7 linked regions of the Rattus norvegicus genome follow. Each later gene encodes a partner of the first gene's protein in a complex. Links are inferred from orthologs where the notes say so. Each region holds a gene or a part of one and is shown in the gene's direction. Other genes may lie near its edges. The genes, in order: Epc1, Ruvbl1, Vps72, Meaf6, Kat5, Morf4l2 and Morf4l1.

Evidence for each region.
Region 2: Epc1 (region 1) and Ruvbl1 share a complex: the UniProt entries of both Homo sapiens proteins name them as parts of the nuA4-related complex. The link is inferred for Rattus norvegicus from reciprocal best matches to the Homo sapiens genes EPC1 and RUVBL1.
Region 3: Epc1 (region 1) and Vps72 share a complex: the UniProt entries of both Homo sapiens proteins name them as parts of the nuA4-related complex. The link is inferred for Rattus norvegicus from reciprocal best matches to the Homo sapiens genes EPC1 and VPS72.
Region 4: Epc1 (region 1) and Meaf6 share a complex: the UniProt entries of both Homo sapiens proteins name them as parts of the nuA4 histone acetyltransferase complex. The link is inferred for Rattus norvegicus from reciprocal best matches to the Homo sapiens genes EPC1 and MEAF6.
Region 5: Epc1 (region 1) and Kat5 share a complex: the UniProt entries of both Homo sapiens proteins name them as parts of the nuA4 histone acetyltransferase complex. The link is inferred for Rattus norvegicus from reciprocal best matches to the Homo sapiens genes EPC1 and KAT5.
Region 6: Epc1 (region 1) and Morf4l2 share a complex: the UniProt entries of both Homo sapiens proteins name them as parts of the nuA4 histone acetyltransferase complex. The link is inferred for Rattus norvegicus from reciprocal best matches to the Homo sapiens genes EPC1 and MORF4L2.
Region 7: Epc1 (region 1) and Morf4l1 share a complex: the UniProt entries of both Homo sapiens proteins name them as parts of the nuA4 histone acetyltransferase complex. The link is inferred for Rattus norvegicus from reciprocal best matches to the Homo sapiens genes EPC1 and MORF4L1.

Annotation. Positions count from the first base shown.
Region 1 is NC_086035.1:59,200,267-59,202,519, reverse strand, and holds part of Epc1 (enhancer of polycomb homolog 1), read left to right. Parts: coding exon 1-261; intron 262-2,253. UniProt on the Homo sapiens protein: Component of the NuA4 histone acetyltransferase (HAT) complex, a multiprotein complex involved in transcriptional activation of select genes principally by acetylation of nucleosomal histones H4 and H2A.
Region 2 is NC_086022.1:122,488,319-122,492,553, forward strand, and holds the start of Ruvbl1 (ruvB-like 1), read left to right. Parts: upstream 1-1,435; 5' UTR 1,436-1,465; coding exon 1,466-1,606; intron 1,607-2,690; exon of another isoform or gene 2,691-2,769; coding exon of another isoform or gene 2,770-3,147; exon of another isoform or gene 3,148-3,209; intron 3,210-4,060; coding exon 4,061-4,147; intron 4,148-4,235. Other genes in the region: Rps25l3 (small ribosomal subunit protein eS25-like), read right to left, coding at 2,770-3,147. UniProt on the Homo sapiens protein: Possesses single-stranded DNA-stimulated ATPase and ATP-dependent DNA helicase (3' to 5') activity; hexamerization is thought to be critical for ATP hydrolysis and adjacent subunits in the ring-like structure contribute to the ATPase activity.
Region 3 is NC_086020.1:185,374,138-185,377,637, forward strand, and holds part of Vps72 (vacuolar protein sorting-associated protein 72 homolog), read left to right. Parts: intron 1-18; coding exon 19-133; intron 134-1,568; coding exon 1,569-1,745; intron 1,746-3,200; coding exon 3,201-3,345; intron 3,346-3,500. UniProt on the Homo sapiens protein: Deposition-and-exchange histone chaperone specific for H2AZ1, specifically chaperones H2AZ1 and deposits it into nucleosomes.
Region 4 is NC_086023.1:142,642,935-142,646,434, forward strand, and holds part of Meaf6 (chromatin modification-related protein MEAF6), read left to right. Parts: intron 1-3,181; coding exon 3,182-3,374; intron 3,375-3,500.
Region 5 is NC_086019.1:212,324,589-212,326,991, reverse strand, and holds the end of Kat5 (histone acetyltransferase KAT5), read left to right. Parts: intron 1-927; coding exon 928-1,087; intron 1,088-1,198; coding exon 1,199-1,280; intron 1,281-1,367; coding exon 1,368-1,502; 3' UTR 1,503-1,903; downstream 1,904-2,403. Other genes in the region: Rnaseh2c (ribonuclease H2 subunit C), read right to left, coding at 2,303-2,403. UniProt on the Homo sapiens protein: Catalytic subunit of the NuA4 histone acetyltransferase complex, a multiprotein complex involved in transcriptional activation of select genes principally by acetylation of nucleosomal histones H2A and H4.
Region 6 is NC_086039.1:104,875,947-104,879,446, reverse strand, and holds part of Morf4l2 (mortality factor 4-like protein 2), read left to right. Parts: intron 1-1,858; 5' UTR 1,859-1,959; intron 1,960-3,031; 5' UTR 3,032-3,055; coding exon 3,056-3,500. UniProt on the Homo sapiens protein: Component of the NuA4 histone acetyltransferase complex which is involved in transcriptional activation of select genes principally by acetylation of nucleosomal histone H4 and H2A.
Region 7 is NC_086026.1:99,541,532-99,545,484, reverse strand, and holds the start of Morf4l1 (mortality factor 4-like protein 1), read left to right. Parts: upstream 1-1,153; 5' UTR 1,154-1,293; coding exon 1,294-1,333; intron 1,334-1,486; exon of another isoform or gene 1,487-1,569; intron 1,570-3,953. UniProt on the Homo sapiens protein: Component of the NuA4 histone acetyltransferase (HAT) complex which is involved in transcriptional activation of select genes principally by acetylation of nucleosomal histones H4 and H2A.

The DNA of each region.
Region 1 (2,253 bases):
ACAGACTTCGGGTTCCCACAGCGCACTGAGTCACCAAGTAACTGCTGCCAACTCTGCAACAACTCAGGTTCTGTTTGGGAACAACATCCGATTAACTGTCCCCTCATCTGTCCCCACTGTCAACTCTATCGCCCCAATAAACGCACGGCATATACCTAGGACTTTAAGTGCTGTTCCGCCATCTGCCTTAAAGCTGGCTGCTGCAGCAAACTGTCAAGTTTCCAAGGTCCCCTCCTCATCCTCTGTAGATTCAGTTCCAAGGTGAGTAGTTCTTTGAAGATTAAATGTCTGAAATGTAAACACCTAACTTGCCTCCTGAAGTGGCTATCCACCTAAGTCTTCTCTTCTTTTCCTTTTGTGTATTGAATATATATGGATATATATATATGAATACATGAATGAACCTTCGCTTACTCAAGAACTAAGCAAGCGGATGTAATAATTCAGTGTTGGTTGAATTCAGTCTTAAGACCAGGCCAGTCCACTCACTGGGACAGTCAGTGTTGCTTCTGGGGCCCGGACCTCCCCTAATTGAGCAGTAGCCTCGAGTGTCGTCACTCTTGTGTGGCTTTGGTGGAGGGAGGCCTCTTTAGGTGCTGTCATGCTGTTGATGGATCTCATCGGTGGCTTACTGTGGGGTAGACTTGGTAAAGCCTCCTTCGCCAGTCTGCTCGCTACTCATTGTGGAAATGCTGGCAGGCCTGCTGACATCTAATAAGCCGTGGCTTTCTCTGCTCACTGACCTTCTTGATTTCAGGAGTTTAAGGTTTTTGTCAAGGTTCCATTTTAACTATAACTATTAATTTAACTCTGTATTAACTAATTAAAATCCTATTGCTACAAAGTACTAGGAGAAAAGAAACAAAGACCTGCATTATTCAGATTAGCAAGAAATAAGCTTAAAACATGAATGTGGGTGTTAAAACAGTGCAGGTAATAGACAGAAGCCCTTCTAGGTTTGTCTCAGATCAGCGTGTGTTGCCCAGTTCATTGTATTGACAGTTGCTCTTGTTTTAAAACCGAATTGTGTGTTCTATGAAATATCAGACCCCACTTGATTGGGTGAAGAGAATGTGTATCATAAGTTTGAGTGGGCAAAGCAGAAATAAAAATTGGAGAAGATGGTGCTTAGCGGTTAACATTGCTGCCTAGAAGGCCAGTGCTATGCTTAGACCAACACTGAGACTTCAGCAGAGAGCGTTCGGGAGAGCAGCTGTGCAGGAGCTCACTTTGCACACCCACAGGCCCTGTCTACATTTATCTGTTCAGTACCAGGAACGCATTGTTGGTCTGATCATGGCTGATCAGTGGACTAGTTCTCCTCTTCCACATCACCAATCATGACTTTCATTGCTGTAGAACATGACAAATATGGGGACATTTACAGTAGATGGGACTTCTCATATCCCTGTCTTTACCCAGTGTTCCAGTCCTGTGTCTGTCTCACTTAGTGATGTTGATTGAGACCTAGATTTAAAGTCCCATCGTGAATTTTGGACATATTTGTGTCTGTGCTGGGTTGTTAAGAATTTTGGACATATTTGTGTCTGTGCTGGATGATTGTTAAGAATTTTGGACATATTTGTGTCTGTGCTGGATGATTGTTAAGAATTTTGGACATATTTGTGTCTGTGCTGGATGATTGTTAAGAATTTTGGACATATTTGTGTCTGTGCTGGATTGTTAAGAATTGTGGAGATATTTGTGTCTGTGCTGGATGATTGTTAAGAAAAGCTTTGGGTTGGGAGGAGGAGCTCCTCCGTGGGCAGAGGCGCTTGCCGTCAAGCCTGACAGCCCGCGTTGGTCCGTTGTATCGTGTGGTGGAAGAAGAGAAGCAGTCCTGCAGCTTGCCTCTGACTACACAACGTAATTGTGTAAAGGCCGAAAAAGAGTTCAGGGCCAAAGAGAACTACTCAGTGCTTGCCAGTACACGCAGGAGCAGCTGAGTTCATAATCCACATTTTTAAAGAAGCTTCACGTGTTGAGTGCATGACCCTACATTGTGGGGGTTACAGGAAAGGAAGGGATCAACTCCATGAACTTCAGCTTCTCTCAGAAATTAAGGTGAAGACGGATAGAAGTGACACTCGCCATCCACTTGTGGCCTCCATGTGCACGCACATGTGTGTACACACTCACACACATCCCAAAACGATGATAAAGGTTTGGGGCTAACATGATGGCTCCATGGGTAAAGGCCCTTGCCACCAAACCCATCAAGCTACGCTTGATCCCAGAACCTATGTGGTGGAA
Region 2 (4,235 bases), on another chromosome or scaffold:
AAGCTCCCTGGCTGAAGAAATGAGTCTGCAGTTAAGAGCACTGGCTGTCCTTATAAAGGACTCAAATTCAATTCCCAATACCCATATGATGGCTCACAACCATCTGTAACTTCAGTTCCTGGGGATCTGACACCCTGTTCTGACCTCCTTGAGCACTGCATGGTGCGTTCACACCTGTGGGCAAAACACCCATATGGATAGATTACAAAAATGAAAAGACTTGGCACTCCCTGGAACTTGTCTAGCAATCTCTGCCTTTGGTTTCTCGGCTGCCTGTCACTTGTCACTTCTGTTCCCAGTCACTCTAGAACTCACTAGCTGCCTTTTATCACTGTCTTCACTGCTATAGCCACTCGGCATGTCTTCATATTACCAGCTCAGTCCACCATACTATTAATCCAGGTGGATAGACCACTGGAGAAATCTTACAATGGGACTAATGTTACAACACAACTGTACATTGTACAGCACAGGAGGGTGTCTCCTGGCTGACTTAAAAGTGAGGGGCACCTGCTTAGAATGCCAGAATGTCAGAGGGTAAACAAGAATGTTTGCTGTCCTTAGTACAGCCCTCCATGCAAATGAAGCATTAAATTTACACTATGGTACAGTGGGTTGTGGAAATGGACTACCATGTTTGCACCAATAACCAAACAGTTGCTTATTCAAATAAAGGGCCATGTTTCTTCACAAGTCACAGGCAGTTTTTGTTTGGCTACCTGGAGAACTGTACCCACTCAAGACAGGTGAAAATGGCTGGTCAGAGTATGGTGGCAGCACCTTTAATCCCAGCAACTCAGGAGGCAGAGACACCTTCTCTTCTTTTTTAAAAGTTTCTTGGGCATGTGATGATCAAAATCATGACATAAAGTGTTTGAAAAGTTTGGGCTGGAATAGTGCCTTCAGGATCTAGTGTATTCTGGAAAAAATGGGCTGGAAAAGAGTGGTTGGCTGGGCAGCTTCCTCAGGGCATCCTTGGGGTGTCTAAATTAGGTGTGAGTGGGAGAACTTTGGGCAGCTGCTTCGTTGATAGTTCTCTCAGGACATCCAAGCACCTGGGAAAGGTCTAATAATTGTCAGTGAAGGAGTCAACTCACCCTGGCATAAACATCTTATACTAAAGAAAAAAAGCATTAAAAGAGGAGTTTATAATTAAAAACCTGCCATTCACATTAATAGCGCTTAAGAATCTGACGGTTCCCAGTCAAACCTGGCCAGGGCAGGAAATGCCTGCCCTGGGGGAACCTAACCTGTGACACAGACGGAAGTTGGTGGGTGAAACTCAGCCGCCGACAAGCGTAGCTTGTAGCCAATAGAAAACGAAGTCTTTTCGCTTCAACCAATGGCGTACTAATAAGGGCGGGTCCTGGAGAGCGGCCTAGTAACGGCCGCGTGGTAACCCAGGCGCCTGGCGTGCCGTAGTTCCTAGTCTCCACGCAGGTTGTGGCTGCACACACTCGTCAAAATGAAGATTGAGGAGGTGAAGAGCACCACGAAGACGCAACGCATTGCCTCCCACAGCCACGTGAAGGGGCTGGGGCTGGATGAGAGCGGCCTGGCCAAGCAGGCGGCTTCGGGGCTCGTGGGCCAGGAGAACGCGAGAGAGGTGGGCGTGGGGCGTGTGCACGCGGTGTGGGCGGCGGGACCAGGTCTCACTAAGATTTGTCTGAGAAGTGAGGATCACATTAGCCAGCAAGGGTCACGGCAGGCAAATTAGGCCTCACCGGAAACACAGTGGAAAGCTGTGGGATTAAATGTAGAATTGACTAAATTTTCGGAGTTGATATGGGTTCTTTAGGCCTGGGAGCTGATCTGTTAAGTGGAGCGGTGAGGAGGAACACTATGACCTATTCCCCATCCAAGCACTCTAGCTTTTCCAGTTCAGTCTTCTTAAAGTCATTGGAAGTTATGCCAGGTCTTTCGATCGGTTCTGTTTTGCACACGAAGAAATTAAAGGTGGGCCAGGTCGCTTAACCACCTGCCAGTTCAGCAGTAATGAGGCTGGTATTCTCCCGACCCCACCCCAAATGATTACTCTTCCCATTTCCTCAGACTGCTCCACTTTGATCCCTGCAGAGACTCAGTATCTACAAAAACTTGCTGTTTATATGTGGTGAAGACTGCTTTCCCAGCCTCAAGAGCATCATCTATCCAAAAGGGAAACGTTTGACCCTAGCTCACTTGCATCTTTTTTTGCAAGCAATAGTTTAATGCTTTCTATTTGTCAGGCGGCTTTATTGTCTGTTATTTCATTTCTGTCTAATAAACCTCACTTTGGTCTGATGTTTCTAAGCACACAGAAACATTGACATGTTTGCACATTAAATCCCAGTGTGCCAAAATTCTACAGTTAACATTTTACAGTGATGCTTTATGGTATATCTGTTCATGTATGTCTACCGTCACAAGTCAGAGTAAACTGTGGACATCAGCCCACTTTGCACATAAGCCCTTCCTTGTGGGTACAGTTGTTTTGAACACTCGGAGTCAGATGAGTAATAGGTGTTAGGTAAAATAAATCTGAGGACACTCACCTCAAGTGAAATGGCCAGGATAGATACTGGATTGTATGTGACTTCAGAGTCTGTTCTAGACCTGCCTCTGCACTGGGTTCTTGTTTGGCCAATCACGCTAGCAGCCTCCCTGGTACTCAGTATCTTCACCCTTATTATTATTGTCATTAGCTGGTATTTATTTATTTTTTTTATTTTTTATTTTTTTGATTCAATAAAGTTTTATTTTCCCAAATGTACAGCTGATTCAATCTGTTTATGCATCTTCACCAGCAGCTGGGGCATCTCCACCCTTTGTGTTTCTGGTGTAAATTACTTGGGCTCTGTGCTTTGAAACCAGCTTGATAAGTCCTTTACTAAGTAGCTCCTGAAGGGCTGCCCTGGCCAAGGAACCTCGAATCTTCAGTCTCTCGGAGACCACAGCTGGAGTAATAAGCTTATAGTTGGGAACTTCCTTACAAAGTTTGTCGTAAGTAGCTTTGTCAAACAGGATGAGATTGTTCAGCTTGTCCCGAACTTTGCCTTTGGACCACTTCTTCTTTTTGGCCTTGCCACCAGATTTATTTACTGGGTCCTTGTCTTTTTTGGCCGACTTTCCGGCATCCTTCTTCTTCTTGTCGTCTTTGGGCAGCATGGCGAAACTCAGAGAGTAGTGTGGACCACTGCAGCCACACTCTGGTATTTATTTTTGTATGTTTGTTTTCACGACAGGGTCTCACTTTTAGCTCTGGCTGTCCTGAGACTCTGTAGACCCTGCTGGCCTTGAGTTCACAGGGATCCATCCGCCTCTGCCTCCTGAGTGCTGAGATTAAAGGCGTGGGCCTTTACTATGCACCTGGCTTCCTTAGCTGGTATCTCTTTCTTTTCCTATTTGACACAATGTGTGCGTAGGCTGTGCAGTTATAGGCCTGCCATGGTGTTTGGGTAGAGGTCAGAGGTTCCTCCTTCCATTGTGGGATCCAGGGATTGAACTAAGGTTTACACTGCAGGTGCTTTTTACCCACTGAGCATCTCACCAGCTCTTTCCAACTCTTATTGGTTGGATTCATAGCACACCCTTTTTGTTTAGATAATGTTGCCGTAGCCAAACTGGCCTGGAATGCACAGCCCTGCTGCTTTTGTTAAGTACTAGGTCTGTGTTGGCTCCTGCCTGCCTCAACCTCCCCTTTCCCTTCTGTTCACTATACTTTGGTAGCTGCAGCATGTTGACCCTTAGACATATCAAACTTGTACTTTGGTTATTTTCAATTTGCAATTTTTGCCTGAAATGTAGATTTCTGCCCGGGGCTTCAAATGTTACATACAAGGTTATGAGAAAGCCCCCTCCGCCCCAGCTCTCCCTAGCTGCTCAGTGTCTCATTTTGCTTCTCTCTTTGTGGGAGCCATCATATGGCATGAGCTAGAGCACGTGGCTCACCCCCACCGCTCCACCCCACAGCAGTGGTGTCCTGTCAGAAGAGCATCGGAACTGTGTGGACCAAGCCCTGAACTGTTTCTACCATGAAGCATTTTAAGATTGACTGATTGTTTCTTTCTGTTTTGTGCAGGCATGTGGTGTCATAGTCGAATTAATCAAAAGCAAGAAAATGGCTGGAAGAGCTGTCTTGTTGGCAGGGCCTCCTGGAACTGGCAAGGTATTCATTCATTTTCTCTCTCTCTTTTTTTTTTTTTTCCTTTTCTTTCCCTTTTTTTCTGGAGCTGGGGACCGAACCCAGGGCCTTG
Region 3 (3,500 bases), on another chromosome or scaffold:
TTTCTAACTTGTCCCCAGGAGCCTCTAAAGAGCTTGAGGCCTCGCAAGGTCAGTACCCCAGCAAGCAGCTCCCAGAAGGCCAGAGAGGAGAAGACGCTGCTGCCACTGGAGCTACAGGACGATGGCTCTGACAGTGAGTTTACATCTGCTGACCACATTTAATTGTGATGATTAAATGTTCTGTCTGCATTAGGTTGAAGTTGATAACCATTGTTTTGTAAAGAGAATCCTAGTGTGTGTGTGTGTGTGTGTGTGTCTGCCTGTCTGCTTGGGTGTATGTGCACTTGTATGTGCAGATGTGTACAGAGGCCAAAAGAGTTAGTTACAGACTTGTTCCGTGTGTGCCGTGTGAGCCACTGTCTCAGCTCCAGTGGTCATAAGCGCTCAGAAAACACTTTCAACACCACTGAGCCAGCTCTTCAGCCCCAAAAAAATCCTTATTCTTAGAAATAGTTCTGGGCCAGATGGTTCAGGCTTGTAAACAACAATTACTCAAAAGGCTGCCAGCAGGAGAGTAACAAGTTCAAGGCCATCCTGTGCTACACAGCAAGTTAAAGCTGGCCCCAACCACTTAGTGAGACTGTCTAGAAATAAAAACATGAAGACCAACATCTCAGAATGTAAAGATGTTGGTTGCCAAGCCTGAGCTCTGTCCCCAAGATCCATGTGGTTTAAGGAGAGAACCAACTCCTGAAAATTCTCTGATTTTCACATGTGCTGCCCTCCCAAATATTATTTAAAAAATTAAGGTATTGGGGTTGGGGATTTAGCTCAGTGGTAGAGCGCTTGCCTAGGAAGCGCAAGGCCCTGGGTTCGGTCCCCAGCTCCGAAAAAAAAAAAAATTAAGGTATTAATAAAATATAACATGAGAAGGTCTAGGGATGTAGCTTACTGGTAGAGAATTTAATCCCCAATAACACAAAAAATAAAAATACTAAATTCTTTAAGAGAAAGCTGTGTACAACTTAACTTTTTTTTTTTTTTTAATATAACCTGAGTCATTAAAAGTACTAGGAATCTACGGAATGGAATGAATGGGGTGTGCTGTTCATAGTAGGTGATGTGATTAAGATTAAAGGCTGTAGGCATTATTTGTATTATTCTTGCTAAATTTGTTTTTTAGTAAGCTTAAATTGTTTAAAAAAATTTTTTTAAAATAGCTAAGAAAGTAGCCTTGCAGTACTGGCACACTCCTTTAATCCCAGCCCTAAAGAGGCAGAGTTCAAGGGCGGCCTGGTCTACAGTACAAGTTCTGGATGACCAGAGTTACACAGAGAAGGGTCTTAAAGCCCCTTCCATCACCCCACCCCACCCCACCCCAACAAAAAAGAAAAGAAAACAAAAAGAAGCTAGAAATGTGCTGGCTGTGGTGGGCAGGCCTCTGATCCCAGCGCTCCAGAGGCAGAGGCCCGAGCAGCTCTGAGTTCGAGGTCAGATGCTCACAGAGTGAAGTCCAGGACAGCCAGAGCTACACAGTCAGAACGTACTTTTTTTTTTTTTTTTAAAGAAAAAGAAGAGAACAAAGTAGAAATGAGTTGAAAACTCTCTTCCAATCTCACTTTTTGTAGGCCGCAAGTCCATGCGTCAGTCTACAGCTGAACACACACGACAGACGTTCCTTCGGGTTCAAGAGAGGCAAGGACAGTCCCGGAGGCGGAAGGGTCCGCACTGTGAACGACCACTAACCCAGGAAGAGCTGCTCAGGGAGGCCAAGATCACTGAAGAGCTCAACTTACGTTCACTCGGTCAGTCTGGTTTGGGAAAGTAGGTACAGACACTGAGGTGCGTGAGACCAGAGACCTGGAAAAATGGAGATTTAAAGCAGAATAATTAGAAAGTTCGTACTTAATATTCCCAGCATTGGGGAGTTCAAAGCCAGCCTGGTCTACTTAATCAGTTTCTGCCTAGCCAAGACTATGTATATGGAGCCCGTCTTGAAACATGCAAAGGGAAATAAACACACAAAAAGAAGAAATGAGTGTGTAATAGGAGAGGGTACTAGGCATCTGGAGTCTTGGTGGGGTTTGGGGGTGGGGAGAGTGTCAGTTTGATTGAGGTCCAGTTGGTATAAAATAACGGTTGGCTGGTTTTTCCTTTTCTGAGAGAAAGCAGTAGCTCCAGTCAGACACAGGCCAGACACAGTGGTAGAGATCCATGAGCTCAGTGTATGGAAGGTAGAAACAGGAGAGTCAGGCACTCAAGGCCAGCCTGGATTATGGGAGTCCCAACTCTATGAGTCAGGGAGAGATTTCTAGGGGGGCTCTGGCCAGATTTGAGAGGACTGTGTCCACAGCGCCCACATGGAGAAACAGTGTGGTTCATTCAGGGGTAAAGGACCAGAGGAGTCGTGATCTGTTTATTCACTAACAGATGTGCATGCAGTGTTGCATGGTCCTGATAATGTGTAGCTAATGTGAGTTACTATGCCCTTCATGGTGCAAACAGCTATACCAACATTGAACTGACAGTGTGCCACCAGATCTAAGCACTAACACAGTGTAGCCAGCCATGGGAACTGAGGGGGTTACAGAGAAATTCCTGAAAAGAGTCACTTAGGTTAGCTTTTTTTTGCCCTTTTAGAATGCAGACTTGGAGGCTGGAGAGATGACTCAGTGGTTAAGAGAACTGACTGCTCTTCCAGAGGTCCTGAGTTCAATTCCCAACAACCACATGGTGGCTCACAACCATCTATAATGGGATCTGGAGCCTTCTTCTGCCCTGCAGGCATACATGCAGGCGGAACGCTGTGTACATAATAAATAATTTTTAAAAAGATATGCAGACGCAGCTGGGCAGTGGTTGTACACACACCTTTTATCTCCGCACTTGGGAGGCAGAGGCGGGCAGATCTCTGAGTTCCAGGACAGCCAAAGCCACACAGAGAAACCCTATCTCAAAAAACAAAAAAGAAAACATGAAAACGAAAGCAAAAACAAAATCACAGGACAGAGCCCAGAGAGATGCCATAGCTCAGCAGGTGAAGGCACTTGGTGACAGCCCTGTTGTCCCGAGTTCAGTTCCTGGAATCCACGTGATATGAGCAGAGAACTGACTCCAGCATGTTGTCATCTGACCTCTCCATATGTGTGTTCACGTACATACACTCTCATAAGTACACAAGAGAATTTAAATAGACCTCGGGACAGAGTGTAGGAAAAGGGAAACTGACCATTCTATCATGTCTCCCTTTGATCCTGAAGAGACCTATGAAAGGCTTGAGGCTGACAAAAAGAAGCAGGTTCACAAGAAGCGGAAGTGCCCTGGGCCAATAATCACCTACCATTCAGTGACGGTGCCACTTGTTGGGGAGCCAGGTCCCAAGGAAGAGAATGTGGATGTGGAAGGGTGAGTGAAGCCCGTGTTCCTGGCCTCTCTTAGAGCTCACTTTCCTCACAGCACATATTCAGACCTCAGCTCATTCCTGGCTTGTGCTGGAGTCTGCTAGCACGAGTTGAATAGTCTCTGAGTGGGGCATGAGGATGATTAAAGAAAAGGCAGAA
Region 4 (3,500 bases), on another chromosome or scaffold:
TCTCCCGACCAAGAAATTTACTTCCGACCATGTGGTCTCAGGTCTGCACAGGGACGCTTCCACCTGCTCGCCCTTCTTGCTGGTCTCGTCTGCTTTTACGTTTTGTGTGTTTGCTATTTGTTTGACTGTGGTTTTGAGATGTAGTTCAGGCTGGTCTTGAATTCCTGATCTTCCCTCCTTGGCTTTCCCAGCCCTGGAATTACAGGTGGATGCTACTGTGCTAACACTTCTCTGTTTTTCTTTTTTTTTTTTTTTTTTCTTTTTTTCGGAGCTGGGGACCGAACCCAGGGCCTTGTGCTTGCTAGGCAAGTGCTCTACCACTGAGCTAAATCCCCAATCCCTCTGTTTTTCTTTTTTAAAAAATTATTTACTTATTTATATAAGTACCCTGTAGCTGTCTTCAGACACACCAGAAGAGGGCATCAGATCCCATTACAGATGGTTGTGAGCCACCATGTGGTTGCTGGGATTTGAACTCAGGACCTCTGGAAGAGCAGTCAGTGCTCTTAACCACTGAGTCGTCTCTCTAGCTCTCTGTTTTATCTTTTAGTTTGTCTGTCTGTCTGTCTGTCTGTCTGTCTCTCTCTCTCTCTCTCTTTCTCTGTGTTTGTGTGTGTGCGTGTGCACGTGTACTTTGTGGTGCTTGTGTGAATCCTGAAGGACAACCTCAGATGTTAGTCTTTTCTCTCCTTCATGAGATGAGACAGTCTCTTCTTATTCTCCACTGCATTGTATAAGCCAGCATGCTGGCCCGGGGCTCCCAGGGATTTTCCCGTCTTAGGACCCTATACCCTACAGGAGATGAGTTATAGGCGTGTGCGTCTGTGTCCAGCTTTATGTAGATTCTGGAAATCCAAATTTAGGTCCTTGCACTACATACAAATGTTTCACCCACTGAGCCATCCGCTCAGCCCTCTTCCTGCTTTTTATTTTCAGACAGGGTGTCCCTTTGTAGTTTTGACAGACCCAGAACTTGATATGTAGACCAGGCTGGCCTTAACCTTGACGGTGATTCTCCTGTTTCAACCTCCTTCTGCTTTTTGTTTGTTTTGTTTTTGCCTCTGCTGCTTCTGGTGGCTACATATTTAAAAAATGCTAATGTAAAGGCAGAAGGGAAAACACTGACCCCTGACCTTCCTGCAGACACAGACCCTTCTGACCATCTTTAGGGACAAATACTAATGTATTTGGGTCCATTAGTAGTTGAGTAGAATTCGGGTCTCTCCCTGTCCTTATCTAGTGATGGTTTCCAGAAGCTGGACATGGTGATACACAGCTGTGACCCGAGCACTGGGGGGAGCAAAGGCAGAGGGCGGGGGCCCACGCCATGGAACTCTTTTTTTCTGTAGCTCAGGCTAGTCATGGACTTGGGGCTTCCTGCGTCTGATGCCCTGCCTTCTCCTGCTTCTTCTTTCCTCCTTCCTACCTGTTGGGTGCAAGGATTGACCCTGGGCTTAGTTCATGCTGTGTGAGTGCTTTACTCTGTAGCCACCCTACCCTAAGACAGTATTTATGAGATGTTCTTGAACATGCATGCTTCTGTGTAAATATATCCAAGTGATTTTGATGATGATGATGAAGAAGAGGAAGAGGAAGAGGAAGAAGAAGAAGAAGAAGAAGAAGAAGAAGAAGAAGAAGAAGAAGAAGAAGAAGAAGAAGTAGTAGTAGTAGTAGTAGTTTTTTATGTAGCCCAGGCTGTCCTTGAGCTTGAGATGTCCTCTCACCTTCCCAAGTGCCAGGATTATAGGCATGTGCCACCCAGCCTGACTGTTGAAATGCTGTTTTGAAACTGGTGATTTATGTCAGTTGAACATTAATTACTACTTCATTCAGGCATTCCTGGGCTGATGGTCTAGCTTACTGTACCCAAGATTGCCAAAGGCAGGGGAAAACTCATGGTGGGACATCCCTGTAATCTCAGCACTCGGGAGCCGGGGTCGGGAAGACCAGAAGCTCATGCTTGAGTAGGTAAGCATGTGGCTAACCCTGAGTCTGCTCCCTGAGAGGTGAACGGGGAGAGCCGGTTCTCCTAAGCTGTTCCCTGACCTCCTTTTACTTGCTGTGGATGTTAATTACTGTGTATGGCAGTGAGGAAATACCATGACCAGAAGTGACTTACAGAGGAAAGTTTATCTTGGCTTCCTTTATGGTCCAAGAATGGGTTCCCTGTGTAGGAAGCTGGCTGGTTATATTTTGTCGCACTTGAAGGAGAGAGAGAGCAAGAAGTGGGGTGAGACCCCCACCCCTGCCCAGCCTTAGTGGCTTCCTTCTGCAGGTTATTCGCTCTCCAAGCAGCTCCACTACCTAGACAGCAGGTATTCAAAGCCCTGGGCCTGCGGGGACAGGTCCATTGAAACCACCCTGCTGCAGCACCCCCACCCCGACATATACACAAATAAGCAAAATGTAGTTTTAGAAAGATAAAGGAGGGGGAGCCGGAGAGATGCGGTTGTTAAGGACGCTTGCTGCTTCTACAGAGGACCCTGGCCGGTTCCCATCGCCTGTGTCTGACAGCTCTGGGAGATCGATTTCCTCTCACTTCTACAGGCCCTGTGAACTCACCTCACGGCCTGGATTCACATGAGACCGTATCTGTCTCCCCTCCAAAAAAAAATGTCCACGACCTCAGTAATTGAGGGATGGGCTAGACTCTGCTTCCCAGTGGGTACCTTTTCTTTTCTTTTTTGAATTTACTCTTTAGATCATATGTATGTGTCGGGGTGGGGTGTGTGTGTGCATGTGAGTGCAGGTACCCAAGGAGGCCAGAGGTGTTGGATCTCCTGGAGCTGCATTCCAGCAGGTGAGCCTTATGACATGGCTTCTGGGAATTAGACTCTGGTCCTCTGCACGAGCAGTACCTGCTCTTAATCTCAGGGTCATTTCTCTAGCTCATCCCCCACCAACTCTTTATAGAAAGACGGGATTCTCTGATGGTTTGTCAGTTTTGCCAAGGTGTCCCTGCCTCTCTTCAGCGTGCCCCATATTGAAGTGTCCCTTATGTAGAGGGCGATGCTCTGAGCTGCGGTCACCTCTGTCCTCAGAGCTGATGCAGACCACGTGGACTTCAGGGACTCCCTAGCTTTGGTGCGTTGAGCGCGTGTTCCTCAAGGGAAAACCTTTGTGGATGACAGGGACTCAGGAACACTGATCAGGCTTTTGGGGCCTGTTCTCTTTCCTCTAGGGGAACCAGGAAGTGGGACGGAAAGCGATACTTCCCCAGACTTCCACAATCAGGAAAACGAGCCTGCGCAGGAGGACCCTGAAGACCTGGACGGCTCCGTTCAGGGAGTGAAGCCTCAGAAAGCTGCCTCTTCCACCTCCTCAGGGAGCCACCACAGCAGCCACAAAAAGCGGAAGAATAAAAACCGGCACAGGTTAGTGGCAGGGTCCCACCCAGAGTCCTCACCTGCTGGGCGGGACTTGGTTGGCGTGGAGATGCCTGGGACAGTGGCAGAACCCTCAGGTTGTGGGTGGCAGAAATTCTTATATGCAAGTCAGGT
Region 5 (2,403 bases), on another chromosome or scaffold:
GGTCTCTTTGGAGTACCTCACTGATTAGAGCAGGCGAGAGGAAACTCAAAGGGCAAACGAGATATACCTACTTTTGCCTAGTAGGACACAGAAATGCCAACAGATTGATAAAAGGGTGGGAGCAATCATTGAACAGGGCTCCTGACTATAGAGGTATATGGCATCCTGGGGATTCATGGGAGTGCTTACTGTGGGGATCCAGTAGCTCTCTCCCCTTCTGGGCTGCTGCTTTCCAGACACCAGCCTTTCCCGCCCTTTTTGTCCACGGGTGCTTGAGCAAAGAGGACGGGACCACCAAGAGAGATGTAGCTAGGAGCAGAAAGTGTGGGGAGCATCATGAGGCCTGTATACCCAAGAGTAAGGAAGGGTATCTCCAAACTAATAGGGACATCCCCAGAGCCCTGACAAAGCATTGTCAGCTCTGCAGGGCCTAACAGTCTCAGGAACTGTCTGGCAGTGCCAGACACAAGCAACACCAGCAAGGGAAAGGGCCACTAAGGGTCAGGTGCCTGGCTCTGAGGAGGCCCTTTCCTATTATGTCTTTAAGCACCCAGCCCATTCTGCTGAGAGCAGCTGACATGCCCAGGATCACAGCTAGTTAAACTGGTGACACTGAAAAGGTCCCCATGGCCTCAAACCACAAAGGGCTCCCTCACTACCACCATACACCCAGACACAGGCTGGCAGGGCAGTGGAGAACATAGCACTCCATCCATCAGCTTCCACTGGCTGACAAGTACCCAGTCATAGCTGCTGTTCTAGCTGCCTTTGGCTGGCTCCCCTACACAGCCAGCAGGGAAGCTGCTGATCCATCAACAAGAGTAAGTGTGAGACAGGCACCCAGGCAGCCCAGCTCCACAGTCCCTCTTACATGCTGCTGTGTACACACCACTTACTCCTCCTCTTGTGCTCCATTCGTTGCTTTAGGCTATGAACTCTCGAAAGTAGAAGGGAAGACAGGAACTCCTGAGAAACCCCTGTCAGATCTTGGCCTTCTATCCTACCGAAGTTACTGGTCCCAAACCATCTTGGAGATCCTGATGGGGCTGAAGTCGGAGAGTGGGGAGAGACCACAGATCACCATCAAGTGAGCCCAAATGTCCACCTGGGGGTTTGTGGTATGGCCTGTCTGTCCCTGGGGTTTCTGGGGACAGATGAATACCCTCGGGGACTTAACTTTCACCCTCCCCCTCCCCAGTGAGATCAGTGAAATCACTAGTATCAAGAAAGAAGATGTCATTTCCACACTGCAGTATCTCAATCTCATCAATTACTACAAGGTCAGGAGGCGTGCTTAGGGGATAGGTGAGGGGTACCAGGATGCAGGCTCTGCGACTGACCATGAGCTGGGTCTGTCTTTTGCTCAGGGCCAGTATATCCTCACTCTGTCAGAAGACATCGTGGATGGGCATGAGCGGGCTATGCTCAAGCGGCTCCTTCGAATTGACTCCAAGTGTCTGCACTTCACTCCCAAAGACTGGAGCAAGAGAGGAAAGTGGTGACACACACACTCTCACTGCAACACCGCGAAAGCCAGCTGAACACGGCTGTCATCCTGTCGTATCCCATTCGAGCTTCGAAGAGTCATGCAAAGGGAGACAGGCCAAAGGACAGACCCAAAAGAAGAAGAGGCCTAGGAGGGGCCAACTAGTGGCCAGTACCAAAGCGAGCTCAGGTCTAGGCCGACTCCAAGGATAGCTGGCTTGTTGGCTCAGGTCCGCTCTGAACACAGGGACCAGGGGGACCCAGGCAGCTGTGTACACTAAGGCGGGTGGGGAGCATCTGTACAGGACTGGTGACTGTAAAAATTTCTTTTGTAAAGGAGGAGCTGGAGGGTGGGGTGGGCGCTGGTTGCAAAGTTCTGGCCCTCCCTGCCCCCAGAAATAAATTGTTTTTATAGGCAGAGCGATCAGGAGTTCTTGCCAGACTGGGTGCCATGCAATGCCAGCTTCAGGGTGGTAAGGTGCCCACAGACTCAGGTGTTGTGAAGATCTCATTTATTGGGATAGAAACAGTGGCTCCAAAGTGGTGTGAAGGGCTCTGTGACTTTCATTTTCATGCTCTGGCTCTCAGTCCTCTGGCACCTGTGCGTGAATCTGCAACAGGAGTCACTTCTGCTTTGTGATTTATAATACACAGCAGTTGGGTGGGAACCCAGCTGCTCAGGGTGACAGCCCCTTCTAAGAGAAAAGTGGGGAATGCCTCCCACCAGTCCCTAGTCTGGACCTCTGGAGCCATGATCCCTGTGGTGCTTATTTGCCCCTAGAACCCCAAATACTAGAGACACGATTCAAAGCTAGTGCTAAGTGCGACCAAGCCTGAGGGGAAAAGAGCCCTTGAGTATACGTACCGCTGCAGCAAGGCTGGGCCAACCTAGGGCCCTATGCACTTTGGCATCTGGAC
Region 6 (3,500 bases), on another chromosome or scaffold:
TTTTTGTGGTGAAAGGGGTGTTTGAAGATTGAGGTATAGTTGAATTAGTAAAATGCTTGCTTATCTTTAGTGTGGTTGAAGATGGAAGAATGAACTTAACATGGTTTTGGCTAGGAATACATATTAAAACAGTTCTGAGATAAATTGGGCTACATCACAAAAGCTTCTATGTAGGCAACTACCTTTAATTCCTCTTGGAATATATCCTTCAGAGATAACTTACCTAGTGGTCTTAATATAGTTATGCATTGATGTCTAGTATTGGTTCTTTTTGTAATAATGACATTTGGAACACTGTCTACAACAGTGGAGCTGGGAGCATTAAAAACCTTTAACATCAGACACTAAAGAGCCCTCCAAGGGAAAGCATTGGTCAAAAATAATTTGAAGAGATCCTAGAAAATGATAAATTTACCAAGAGCCAACTCAAAAGGACAAAGGCATATACAAATGGGGGGGTAGATTTCTGTTAACACAGGTGCAAATTGGACAACAATAAGTGTCTTTTAAAGCTATTGAAGGTTGGCAATGTAACTCAGTGGTAGAGCAGAAAAGAATGAAGGTTAGCTTGCTGATGCTTACCAAAGGGTGTGCTGTGGTGTGATTGCTCATTTTAAGTTAGAGTTTTTGAAGGGTAAGCAATTTAGCACCAGGGTAAAAGCCTTAAATGTGTTTATACCTTGCTCCGCTAAATAAATCAGCCAGGAGTGAAACAAATGTCATGGCCTAAAAGGTGTATTTCATAACCTTAACATAACTATGGGAACATAGTTTTCTTTCAATGATTTTTTTTTAAAGTGAGAGCTAAGATTTAATAATACGTGCTTACCTCACAAACCTAAAAAATGATACTTTTCTGGATTATTCTTGAGCTAACTTTAGAGATTGATTAGAAAAATTTTCTACTAGTCTCTGTGCTTCTGCAGAAGATCCAAGGTTATAACACAAGCCCTGTGGTAGGACTTTTATTGTATTTAAGTGAGGGAGAGGAAGTCTGGAGTAGAGTAGGTATGCTAACTGAACTGAACAATGTTTAGTAGTGGGGGATTGGAAGGAAGGACCCACAAAGTGGATTCAAAATTTTAGGACCACACTATGTGCTAATAAGTTCCTTGGTAAGGAAGTACTGATGACCAAGGCAAATGCTCTACTACTGGCTTACATCCCCAGACCTCAGCAGCCTCCAAAACACCTGCTTATTTTAGTAGGTGTTGATCTCTTAAGAAAAATGGGTTATGGTCCTCCAGAGCACTGTAAACAGAAACCCACTCCCCATTCACACATGGATTTTGTTTTTTGAGGTGGTCCTTGGTAAATTAAAGCTGGAATGCCATCCTTTACTCGGGGAAGGGGGTACCCTGAATATGTAACAGACTCATGTTTTACACATTTGCACACTCATTTAAGACAAATGGAATCACACTGTTAATAAGAGCTGTGCTACTAACCCATTTACCTAAGGACATTAAACAGTTTTCAGTGTCAGTATGTAGATAGGCCTCTGCTTAAGTCACTTGGGTATTCTGTAGTGTGCATGTGTAATTTGTATCACCCTTTCCCTGCTGAAGCTGTAAATGTCTGCAGTTCCTCATTGCTCGTGCTACTTTAGTGAACCGCCCTCATTCACATGTAGAAATGGTCATGTGCGGTACTATGCTAGCTGTTCAGTAACATGACATTCTTATAGTAGCCTATAGCAACTAGGAATAGTTTCTTGTGCTTGAATATACATGTCTTCAGTTCCATTTTGCAGATCACACACTATTTTCCTTCCTATATGTAAGGCACATTTGTAACTTTTTCTTACATGATTTTGTAAAAGTTCATCTTCATTGCATATCCCTACTTTCCTTTCTAGGTTGTATTCCCACTTCATCTTTCCAGACCATCCTAGGAGATCTGTAAGATTCCATCTGGGAGATTACTAGGAATCCTTGGAAGGGAGAGAAGGAACATTGTGTAAGTCAAGGGGTTGTCGAATGAGTCAGCCATCGAAGCAGGAGGCTTGTTTTTTAATTCATTTTCACTGAATATTGTTTCTCTTGAAACTCAACCTCTTTATCTTCCAAAGTCACATATCTTCTTACTCTCCGATGGAGGGCTCACCATTTAATCTGTGGTCTCTTGCTAACTCCTCAAATACTTTTTTGTTCTTTACATTTTCTGGAATTCTATGTCTGAAATTCTGCCTGTTTTTTCTTCAGTGAAGAGGTTCACTGGTTCATAGTGTGTGCTATAAGCTACACGATAAGAAATCTCCATTTCTTTACTCTGAGTTTGAACATTCTCTCTTTGAGTGCACACTGAAGATAATAAAAAGTCCAAAACTAATCACCTTTCTCCTCTAAGCAGTTTATATAAATACCATCTCATTTGATGGTGATGGTCATCCATCCTTAAAGCCTGAAAGTTGTCAGTAACTCCTTTCTCAGTTTCTCATCTCTTCTAAAGTTACTAAAAGAGATCTTTTATGCATGTAACTATCAGTGGACTAATCTTGTTTTCTGACAGTGTCAGACAAATCCTTAAAAAAAAATCTGTGCTTTACTAAAACTACCCAGGCTCAGTCGTGCAGAGCCCATTTTGACTCTAACCTTTGATCATTGCATTCCTCTGTGTGAATTCTGTGCCATCGAACTACTCAAGGCCTACCTAGACCTGTATACACAAACCTTTTCTGTTAATTCACCTCCAACTTCCTTATTCCTTTCAAATTCTTATTCTTGTTCCAAAGTCTTGCATTTCAACTCTGCTTCCTTCTATCTCTAAAATTTCTCTAAAATTAAATCCCTATCTTTTAAATAGCATCAAGAGATATATTTGTGGGCGTGTTTATTGAATTATTAGGTGAGGCAAGAGTTGTGGGCATTAGGATAGAATTTTGAGATAGAAAACAGAAAAGCATTTATAAATGGTCCTCTGAAATAGGACCTGAAATCTATATTCCAACAGACTTTAGCATATGTTGTGGTCTGATGGGTCATAAAATCACCATAGTAAACAACCAAATACAATACTTTATGTATTACAGTGGTTGGAATAAAAACAGGGTTGAATGAGTTCCAGAAAGCAGGCTTCTCAAACTCGTGGACAACAATCTGCTGAAGAAGACAACTTTAAGAAACCCACTCGCAGCAATATGCAGAGAAGTAAGATGAGAGGAGCTGCCTCAGGAAAGAAGTCAGCTGGTTCGCAGCCGAAGAATCTTGATCCAGCCCTCCCAGGAAGATGGGGAGGTCGCTCTGCTGAGAACCCCCCTTCTGGTTCTGTGCGGAAGACAAGGAAGAACAAGCAGAAGACTCCTGGCAACGGAGACGGTGGCAGTACCAGTGAAGTCCCCCAGCCTCCTCGGAAGAAAAGGGCACGGGCTGACCCCACTGTGGAGAGCGAGGAAGCATTCAAGAGTAGGATGGAGGTGAAGGTGAAGATCCCTGAAGAATTAAAACCATGGCTGGTGGAAGATTGGGACTTGGTTACTAGGCAGAAGCAGCTGTTCCAGC
Region 7 (3,953 bases), on another chromosome or scaffold:
TCTTGGAAAAAATAATGAAAAATTAGTCTCAGGAGATAGAGTCTGTGAGTTCATGGTCAGCCCAGTCTACATGGCCAGGTCCAGGCAAGCCAGGGAGATATATAGATAGATATATAGATATGGATATAGAGATAGATATAGATAGATGTAGATGTAGATACAGATATATAGATATAGTAAGACTCTGTCTAAAAGAGAAAAGGCTTGGGCAGAAAGGTTTGCCTAGGATAGTTAGGTAGCTGTAAACTGTGGAGGGACTTCAAGTATCAGGACAACTATTTTCAGACTTATCTCCTAGTTAACAGCTCTAAGCCTCTGCGTGCACTTTATGTAATTCTGTGGGTATAGGGGTACGCTATTTTTACAGCAGAGTACACTAAGGAGTTTTTGAACATAGGAACGGTGTGAAAAAAAGGTTTTTTGTTTTTATTTGTTTTGCTTTTTCAGATTGAGTATGCATCTAATACTACCTCAAAGAAATAAGATTGCAGAGAGGTTAAATACGGAACCTTGACTTTGGCAGCAATCCGGGTTTGCCTCCTTCAGTGAGACCGAGTACTTCAGAAATCAGAAGCTGCAATCTACAAATGGTCCTGAGAACCGACCCCCCTACCCATCCCAACTCCCCCAATCAGGGCTTGGCTTTCCAAACGCTGAAGCTTCTTCTTGAGCAGACCACCTTCCCACTCGCCTCTAGCTTCCTTTCTGGATTTCAAAGCTCTCCTAGGCCAAGTCCTGGTGATGCCTTGGAACTCAGGCTGCAGAGACAGTCCTGTCCTCAGGCCACTTCAACACCCCACCACATCTCTGGGGCCTCATTTCATAACTAAGCATCTGCCCCATGAGCCTTTTCTATCCGTTCACCGCTAGCTAGTGATTTACTTATTTCTTTCTCCTTGTCACCAACAGAAAATCAAATCTGGGTTGTAACAAGCCTCTGAGGTCTGGATACTCAGGGGACTGGGGTTGGGGGATTGCGGGCGCGGGGCGGGGGGGGGGTATCTCCCGCTCCCCTCCCCCATTGCTCGCGTCAGTGGAGGCTGAACTACCAATCCCGGCGTGCCTCGGGGGCGGCACGGGCGCAGGCTTGTGTGCGCGGCGGGTAGCCGTTGGCTGAGGAGGCGGCTGCGCCGGTCGCTGTGCTGTGAGGTCAGACGGCGCTGGCAAATCGCGCCCAGGATGTAGAGCTGGCTGTTCCCGACGGCGCGTCTGACGCTAAATTGGGTGGGGTAGAGAGTAGGGGGCGGTAGTCGGGGGTGGTGGGAGAAGGAGGAGGCGGCGAATCACTTATAAATGGCGCCCAAGCAGGACCCGAAGCCTAAATTCCAGGAGGGTGAGTGTGCAGCTTTGGGAAAAGGGACCTAACGGTGCAGGGGAGGGAGGCTGACTTGGAGCTGTTGAGGTTTGGGGGTCGGGGTCGGCGTGGCTCGAGGCCTGGGGAAACTGCGGGCCTGGCTTTGTAGGGGGGGGGGAGGCGCATTGCGGTGGGTAACTTCAGTGCGTCATTTGGCGACAGTGCTTCGTGGCGCGAAAGCGAGCCTCCGGCACAGGCAAAGCCGAAGGATCCCCGTGCGTATGGCAAAGCCTCGTCGCTTGTTTGTTTTTCTGCGAGCAGAGAAAGTCTATTGTAGGGAGGTGCCCGGAGGGCGAGCGATGGCGACGGTTAGGAAGTGATGTGGCGTGGGGGAGGGGAGCAGCGACAGCCCATCCCCGCGCTTAACTCTCGGCCATCGGCCGCGCGGGTGACTGTGGGCTGAAGGTTCGAGGCTGTTGGACACTGGGGCTATCTCAGCGTTCTGTGGAGTTCTACTGTAGGAGGACACGGGGGGTGGGCTGTGCGCCCCGCGGCGGGAGAACTGCGTTATAAAATGGCCGCGGCAACATGGCCGCGCCATCATGGCTGCCGGCGTCTCGCAGCTACGCGCAGCTTCGGGCCAGATGGAGCGCCCCCTGGCATGGAGATCACGCTCATTGCCTCCTCTTGCCTCTTGAGTGATGGGTGGGGACAGAAAAAAAAATAATAAACTTGAGCCGCCCGAGCGAGTTCCTAGGCTCGCTGTTGCCTGAGGGCATCGTTTTGCTGGTTTTGGAGTGCTCTCCGAAGCCGTTGTTCGTGAAAACAATTTTCAGTTCCTCCTTAGGGCGTTTCCGTTTAGAGGTCCTTGGCCACGTTGTCATTTTTAAATACAGTAGTTGCTTGACTGGTTGTAATAGTACTCGATTAATGGCGATTTGAAAGCTAACGCTTATTGACTTTGATTAGAACAGTGTTGCTGAACTACGGTACTAACAGTGGAAAGCAGTTACTCAGTTCTCACAACTCATTCTGTCCAGGTGGTTTATTTGGCATACTAAAGGGAATAAAACTATAAGCATAAAGAGGAACACTTTAAACTTTTTACTGCTAGCAATGTCTGTATGTGCTTGTTATACATGCTGGGTCCAGCTTGCATAACAAGTTTCAAGTGCCACCAAATAGAAACGTTTTAACTAATCGATGTACATAAGAGAGTATTGCAGGGGTATTTTAGTGCGGCCTCTTAATATTTTTCTCCCACTTTGAGACCATTCATTGTTTTTCTAGGTGTTTTGGAGAAAGCTTTTTGTTTTTTGTTTTTTTGAGACAAGTCTTGGTATGTAGCCCCAGCTACTGTATTGATCTTCCTTGTCTTAGTCTTTAGAGTATAGCAGCTAAGTCTTGTTTGCCGTATCCTGTACGTTCGCTCAATATTATATAATTATAATGACACTTAAAATAGTTTTGAGGGGCTGGAGAGACCAAGTACTTCCTAAGGCAAGCATGAGGACCCGAGCTTGGAACCCTAGCAAGCAGTTTTAAAAGCTTGTTTACTTCCGGTTGTGTTGGTGTGCACGTTAATTCAAAGCATTCAGGAGGCAAGGGAGGGTGGAACTCTGGGTCTGAGGCCATCCTTGATACTTAGAGCTACGTAGGACATCCAGAACTATACAGAAACTCCTTTGCGTATGGAGGTGTGTGTGTGTGTATGTGTGTGTGTGGTGTTGCTCTATACCCAGCAGGGGTTGGAGGGGTGGAGAACTGCAGCAGCAGGTAGATGGAGACCTCTGTAGCTCATTGGCCGGCAGCCTACTAATGTGTGAGTTAAAGTGAGAAACTGTCTAAAAAAGTGAAGAGTTAGTACTGTGGCAGACATTAAACTGGTTGGCCCTCACTTGTAGAAAGATGGTGTACCCTGTAGTTTTGCTAACTCTACTAAGTTGTTTTCCTTAGTAATGCCATGTTTTAGGTATCAAAGCATGCCAAGAGGCTCATAGGCTTCTCCAGGTTGTCAGAACAAACACAAAAGCGTAATCCTTGCTTAATGTTAGAAACTAGAAATCAAGAATGGTTGTTTTGAAAGAAATGCTTTCTTTCTGAAGGAGACAGTGCCAAAGTGAGGTGGATAAAGGCAAACCAGAAGGATGGTGTTGGTGTAGTTGGAGAAGAGTAGGAACAAAGGCTAGGTTGTGAAAGCCTGGTAAATCTCTGCTTTACCATTATTTCCCAGCTGTGGATTCCAGGTGTAGCTGGGTGTGATACCTAAAATTCTGTCCAGCATTACAGAAGCAGAGGCAGGAGGCTGACCAGCCCAGGGGTACATAAGATGACCCTGTCTCAGAAAACAAAACCAAACCGAAGAAATCCAAGCTAAGATAATATGGGTATCTTTTTAAAATTGTATAAAAGACATGTTCGGTCCTCACCTTGGCTAATTCATAGGGCCTATGTGGTAGAGGTAAAGAACTGTCTCCCACAAGTTGTCATCTGACCTCCACATATTTACAGTGGCATGTATACATACATTTACTCCCCACCCCATAGTAGATAAAAACCCAGAGAACATCCAGAAAGGAAACAGTGTTGATTGGATTATTTTGAAATCTTGGTAGAATTTTGATAGTGAAAGGTGGTAAATATACATTTTGTGTATGTG